Canis lupus familiaris: one gene and its partner. The protein of the gene in region 1 binds, or shares a complex with, the protein of each later gene. Links are inferred from orthologs where the notes say so. Each region holds a gene or a part of one and is shown in the gene's direction. Other genes may lie near its edges.

The links. Proteins that work in one complex are often made in the same cells at the same time.
Region 2: HEATR3 (region 1) and RPF2 share a complex: the UniProt entries of both Homo sapiens proteins name them as parts of the hexameric 5S RNP precursor complex. The link is inferred for Canis lupus familiaris from reciprocal best matches to the Homo sapiens genes HEATR3 and RPF2.

The regions. Positions count from the first base shown.
Region 1 is NC_049223.1:64,457,018-64,460,669, reverse strand, and holds part of HEATR3 (HEAT repeat-containing protein 3), read left to right. Parts: intron 1-1,086; coding exon 1,087-1,263; intron 1,264-3,652. UniProt on the Homo sapiens protein: Plays a role in ribosome biogenesis and in nuclear import of the 60S ribosomal protein L5/large ribosomal subunit protein uL18 (RPL5). Required for proper erythrocyte maturation.
Region 2 is NC_049233.1:67,883,998-67,887,649, forward strand, and holds part of RPF2 (ribosome production factor 2 homolog), read left to right. Parts: intron 1-2,131; coding exon 2,132-2,213; intron 2,214-2,864; coding exon 2,865-2,941; intron 2,942-3,652. UniProt on the Homo sapiens protein: Involved in ribosomal large subunit assembly. May regulate the localization of the 5S RNP/5S ribonucleoprotein particle to the nucleolus.

The DNA.
Region 1 (3,652 bases):
AGTAAGCTCTAGACCCAACATGGGGTTTGATCTCATGATCTTGAGATGAAGAGTCACATGCTGTACTGACTGGCCCAGCCCTACTACCACCTGTTTTTACCTCAGCTCCTGGGGTCGGCTGTCTCACAGTATCCAACCTTCTGGATTTGTCTGATTGCTTCCTTGTGGTGTGAAGCTTTGTTCCTTTATTCTCTGTGTTTTCTACAAACTGAAAGTTAGATCTAAAGGCTAGATTAGATTCAGAAATAGGTTAATCTTTTTAATAAAACTACTTCATAGGTGATACTGTGTGCCTCATAATTTATTACATCTTATTAACTCTAAATACTATTCTAGAGGTTATCTAGATTACTTAAATTTAGATAAGAAAATTAAGTAGGTAATGGACTTTCTAAGAGCCAGCTTGTTATTTACATCACAGCTGGAGTTTGAACTTGCTGTTCTTAACATTTCCACTCTCCCACCAATAATACCAGATGTGCCCATCACCCTTAAGACATAAAGGGTGAAGCAGAACAGCCAAAACAAAATAAGTTTACCCTTGAAAAGTTCCTTGCAGATTGGGAATGACCTGTTCATTAGCTAGCTAATCATAAAAGGATAGATGGGTGCTAAACATCATCACTGGGAAGCAGAATGAGATTTAATGTTTTTATTTTTAATTGTCCTAGCGTGTTTTTCATACAATTTTATTTTTTTATCTAATTTTAAAAGCATATTTTTTTTTTGGTTACAGCTATATATCTGCATTTTAACACCATGGAGAAAGCCTTTTTGAGGGAGATAGAGGGGAAATTTTAATTTCTAAAACCAACCTTTCATAAAACCAATCATCATTTATGTATTTTAATTTATATTATTTAGGAATGTAAACTCTAATATACTTAATTTATCTTGTTGATATTATACTTGGTGTATTTATAAATATATGTGAAGTCTTTAATTCTTTCAAAGTTTTAATTTGTCTCTGGCATTTCTAAATTTTAAGATACCATGCGTGAACGGTTGCCACATTTAAAGTTAGTATTTATTTTGGAAACTGATGTTAGAATACTGGACAATAACAGCATGTATTATTGACTCCAGACCATTGGATGCTTTCTGCTTGAGGTTGCCACCAAAGATCCCTCCCTTGTGGTGGCAGGAGAAGCCTTGGATGCCCTCTTCGATGTTTTTGCAGATGGTAAAGAAGCTGAAAGGGCCTCAGTTCAAATTAAATTGTTATCTGCTCTGAAAGAATTCCAGCCAGTCTTCAAAATGAAGGTATGTAGCTCTTTTGTGTAGAAATGCTTTGGTCTCACCATCCTCCAAGAAGGGAGTATATGCAGTTCCCTCCATACACTCCCAGTGATTCATAGAGTGCTTCATCCATGGAACTGAAGAATGCTTGTTGGCTGAGTCAGAGCTCAGGCCTTTGTGTTGAATCACTGTGACTTGGGCCAAAATGGTGTGGGCAGGGTTCCTTTTCTATAAGAGTTCAGTAATACTAACAGTGCTTATGGAGAAGCAGTCTAGTCTGTGACCTGCAAAGCACTTTCATGTACATACAAATTTTTTTTATATCATTATAGGTGATAAATTAGAACTTGATTTTAATGTTAGGAATAGTTCCCTTTGGTGCTCCATGCTGGTCTTTTTTTTTTTTTTTTTTTTTTCCATGCTGGTCTTTATCAAAGAATGTAGCTACCTTCATTTGCCCTTTTATTTATTTTTTGTTTCACTAGAAACATCAAAGCTAATTTTGAATCAAAAAGTAATTTTCAAGGGCACCTGGGTGGCTCAGTCAGTTAAGCATCTGCCTTTGGCTCAGTTCATGATCCCGGGATCCTGGGATCAAGCCCTGTGTGAGGCTCCCTGCTCAGTAGTGAGCCTGCTTCTTCCTCTCCCTCTGCCTTTTTCCCCTGCTTGTGCTCTCTTACTCTCTGTCAAATAAATACATTTATTTATTATTATTTTTTAAAGATTTATTTATTCATGATAGAGTGAGAGAGGCAAAGACACAGGCAGAGGGAGAAGCAGGCTCCCTGCAGGGAACTCAATGCAGTACTCGATCCGGGGACTCCGGGATCACGCTCTGGAGTGAAGGCAGGCGCCAAGCCGTTGAGCCACCCAGGCATCATTTACTTTTAAATCTTTGTCAAGAGGGATCTCGGGCAGCCCGGGTGGCTCAGTGGTTTAGTGCCACATTCAGCCCAGGGCCTGATCCTAGAGACCCAGGATCGAGTCCCATGTCGGGCTCCCTGCATGGAGCCTGCTTCTCCCTCTGCCTGTGTCTCTGCTTCTCTCTCTCTCTTTCTTTCTCTCTCTCATGAATAAATAAAATCTTTAAAAAAAAATAAATCTTTGTCAAGAAAATAGAAGTTTGGATGAGAAATTAGCTTACTTCTGTTGTTTTCCAGTATGTATTTGTTTTGTTAAATTTTTTTTGAGAATGAGAGTAGGAGAAGCAGAGGGAGAGGGACAAGCAGACTCTATGCTGAGTTTGGAGCCAGATGCGGGGTGATCTCATGACCCTGAGATTATGACCTGAGCTGAAACCAGCAGTCAGAAGCTTAACTGACTGAGCTACCCAGGTGCCCCCAATGTGTATTGCTTTCTTCTAACAAGCTTCTAATACAGAATTGATTGCTCAAGGAGAGAACTCTGTGATGACTTTTTAGGAGACTATGATTGTATGTCTAGTAATTTCAATTTTCTGAAGTTTTTTAAGGCATAAGAACTAGTTTTCTTTAGAAAACTAGCAACACACACCATGTACATTCTAAATTGTAGGCCCGTCTAAAGTCAGTGTTGATTTAAGGACAGCAGTGTTGGTTTGTTTTTAACATTTTCATATTTTGCTATCTTATATTTAAAAATGTCATCTTAGTGGCTGACATTTATTGAGTTAAGTTTCACCAATAGGTAACTTAAGTCTGGGGAAAAAACTTCAACAGTTTACCTTAATTACAGTTTGTTCAAACCTATAGGTTTTTTTTTGTTTTTTGTTTAATTGAAATACAATTGATGTATAACATTGTATTAGTTTTAGGTGTATAGCTTAATGGTTTGATACATGTACATGTTGGGAAATAATTCCCAGAAAAAGTTTAGTTAAATCCATCACCACACATAGGAGGACATTTTTTTTCTTGCGATGAGAACTTTTCAGGTCTACTCCTAGTAACTTCCAAATTTACAATCAGTCGCCATGCTGAACGTTACATCCCTGTGACTTACTTAGCTTATAATTGGAAGTTTGTGCCTTTTTTTTTTTTTTTTTTGGAAGTTTTGGAAGTTTGTGCCTTTTGACCCTCTTCACCCATGTTTGTCTATTTTTTAAGCAGTGAGAGGTTTTACTGTTTATCATCAGTAAACAAATTGAGTGATATCTCTCCATGTAAAGGCAGATGTGCATTAGTATTTTACCCCCTTTCTTTTCCAAAAGGTAGCCTAATATATTCACAACCCTGCACTTTGTGTTTTCTCTTAACACGATCTCCTAGATGTATTTCCATACCAGTACATGGTGGGCATCCACAGGGTTCTTAAAGGGTGCAGGCAGGCCCTTGAAACATCTGAAAAAGAGTCCACGTGGTAAGAAGAAAATATCCCCTATTTCCCTGCAGCTGCAGGAAAGCAGATGTAGTTAAGTCTTCAGACTGCAGAAGCA
Region 2 (3,652 bases), on another chromosome or scaffold:
ATTTCTTTTTCAATACAGTTTTGAGGGCAGCCTGGGTGGCTCAGTGGTTTAGTGCCGCCTTCAGCCCATGTCGTGATCCCGGGGTCCTGGGATCGAGTCCCACGTCAGGCTCTCTGCATGGAGCCTGCTTCTCCCTCTGCCTGTGTCTTTGCCTGCCCCCCCCCTCTCTCTCTCTGTCTCTCATGAATAAATAAATAAAATCTTAAAAAAAAAATCTAGTTTTGATACGACAGCTTTTCTTACACTTGAAATTGTGAGTTTTCCTCTCTTTCATCTCCCACTTCCAGAGATAGCAGATATTTCACTGGACATAGAAAATCTCAGATTACTAGAACTCAGAATGGCTGTGGAAACAGTGGTCATGTTGGAAATGTGGTTGAATTCCTCCTCCTGACCATGTATCCCTCCAGTAGCACTTTTTTTTTCCAGTAGCACATTTCTTATACTACGATCTTGGAACTGCTTTAGAACAGAGTTGGCAAATTTGTGGGCCAAATCCCTGTTTCTGTGAGATATATAAACTACGAATAATTTTTATATATATATATTTTTAATTTTTATAATTTTTATATTTTTAAAGGGTTTCTTTCTCTTTTTTTAGGGTTTCTTTATTTAAAAAAAGCTTGTAAAAGGCTTAAAAGTATTTACTGGCCTTTTGCAGATAATTTGACAATGTTTTCTCTAGTTTGAACAAAAACTGGACTTCTTATGGAGAACAACAACAGATGAGTACTATAGTTATGTGAGAGGTAGCTCATGGATGGCTTTGGGGTGTTAGTGATAGTAAGAATGTAAAAAAAAATTTTTTAAGAAAGCATTTTCATTTATTTGGACACTTAAATTTTTTTTTTTTTTTTAAGTGGGTTCCACACTGGGCAGACTAGAGCCCAGTGTAGGGCTTGAACTCCCGACCCTGAGATCAAGACCCAAGCTGAAGTCAGGAGTTGGACATCAACTGACTGAGCCACCCAGGCACCCCTAAGAATCCTTTTTTGGAATGCCTGCTTTGTACTAGACACAGGATAAGGTACTTGCCCATATGACTTTCATGTGGCCTTTGCAGATTTTTGTAGGAAGGTCTTATTGTCTGCGATTTACACATGATAAAACTAATTCTTAGAAAGGTTGACCAGATCTGACAGTAAATGGCAGAGCCAGAATTCTTGGACTTTCTGACTCTACATCCTCTATATCAGGTGGATAGGCAGGTTTGGTAGTTTTTTGCCCTGTTTGCTTCTGCTTAAACACTGGAATGAATGAAAACCAAACTAGGAGTCCACACCCCAGGGAGTCTTGTAACCTGTAAAGAAAACTTGAGGATTATGATCGTTTCATCTAGAGTTAGAGGTTTAGGGACCCCTGTGTGGTTCAGTCGGTTAAGGTCTGCCTTCAGTTCAGGTCATGATCTCGGGGTCCTGGGATTGAGCCCCACACCGGTCTGTGCTTAGTGGGGAGTCTGCTTCTTCCTCTCCCTCTGCTCTTCTTCCCTGCTCATGTTCCCCCCCACCTTGCTCTCACTTTCTCAAATAAATACATTTTTAAAATCTTTAAGAAAAAAAAAGTTTTAGGCTTTTTGAACCCTGAAGTGTCCCTATTCATGTGTATTTTAATGCATGGTAAGATGTACCATTGATGATAGCAGTAATGTCTAATGAATAAAGGCGTTTATTCAACAAATGAAATAGTGTGTTAATCCAAAGCTGCATAGTTGAAAATAGTCTCATTTAATTTATTAACCTAAACTTTCCAGTATATTTTTAGTCTTCAATTTATATATTTTTCTTAGGTACCTCAAATCAGAAAAATTGAAGTAAAAAGCTAGAAATAAAGTCCTTTTCTATTGTTTATTCCTATCTAGTTCATTAAGTATTCATTACTGTTTTTATTTTTATTCTTTTTAAAGATTTTTTATTTATTTATTCATAGACACAGAGAGAGAGGCAGAGACACAGGCAGAGGGAGAGAAGCAGGCTCCATGCAGAGAGCTTGACGTGTGACTCGATCCTGGGTTTCCAGGATCACGCCCTGGGCTGCAGGCAGCACTAAACCGCTGAGCTACCGAGGCTGCCCTCATTACTGTTTTTAAAGTTCTTATATTAATGCATTAACTGGAGTTTTTTTGGTTTTACAGGAATTCTTTTCAAAGAAGTCAGATTGTTCTTTATTTATGTTTGGCTCCCATAATAAGAAGCGGCCAAATAATCTAGTAATAGGTAAATATCATTTACTTTATAAATACTGTTATTTACAGCTTGTGACTCAGAATAATTGATGGTATTGCGGGTTCAGGAGTAACAAGTGAGTGCTAAGCTAGTTTTTTAACATTTCTTTGTGAAAATGTTTCCTTTTTTCTCTCTCTTTTTTTTTTCCTTCTTGTGACTTTGAATAAAATTTTTTATCTACCAGACTGCAGGTAAAGAATAGGCATGTAAATACTACTTCACCTAAATTTGCAGAAATTTTCCTAATATAAAACATATGTACCTCTTAAATCAGTGTTAGAGAAAAAAACAAAGTAGTACACCTAGCCATATAAATTAACCCTTCCCTGGTAAGTATTGACACTTGGTCTGGCATAGTCACTGGTGTAAGCAAGTCCCTTTCCCTCTGTGGGCCTTTATTTACTCATAAAATAAGGGAGTTTGGTTAAATGATTTTTAAGATTCTTTCAAGGCCAAGACTGCAACAATTTATTTATTCTAGATAGAATTGAAAGCTTAAGAAAGAGGGAACATATTTGGTGGGGCCTAAGAAGAAAAAAAGAGGCAGATTCTAACATTTTGAACATGCCAGTTTGAACATACCATTAAAGTTGGATGTTTGGGAAAAATAAATGCTAACAAGAAAATGTATTTTCCTTCGAGGTCGTATGTATGATTACCATGTGCTGGATATGATTGAATTAGGTATCGAGAAGTTTGTCTCTCTAAAAGATGTTAAGGTAAGATAGCATAAAAGTAAAAAGCATTTTGTAATATTGCTCTTGGGCAGTAGTGACATCTTGTGGTGAAGAGTACTGTTACAGTTGTGTAACTTAAATAAGAATACTATTTTTATTCTGTGCTCGGAGATTAAAAAAAAAAAAAGCGAGTTTCATTTTATCTTTTAAAATAAGGTCTGTTGGGACTCCTGGGTGGCTTAGTGGTTGAGCATCTGCCTTCAGCTTGGGGCATGATCCCAGGGTTCTGGGATTGACTCCCACATCGGGCTTCCCACAGGGAACCTGTTTCTTCCTCTGCCTGTGTCTCTGCCTCTCTCTGTGTGTCTCTCATGAATAAATAAATTTTAAAAAATATATATTTTTAAAATATATCTATATCTATATATAGAATATAATACATATGGGGATCTCTATATTTAAAATATATCTATATTTATCTATCTATATATATAGAATATAATACATATGGGGATCTCCTGACAGACTTCAGAGTGATTATTAACTCTTGTCTGGGCCCACAGTTTACATGCTATCCTCTCCCTCTGAATTGTCACAGAACCTATTTTATGGAATTTCAGAAATACCAGAGTTTTAAAAGTGAGCCCCGTTTGAAACCTAGGATACTTTAGCTGATCCTACAGTAAGGCTGCTGGCCACCAGAATGCTAGTTCAGTACTTAAGTTTTGCATCTTTGTGACTCCTTTGTTTGAA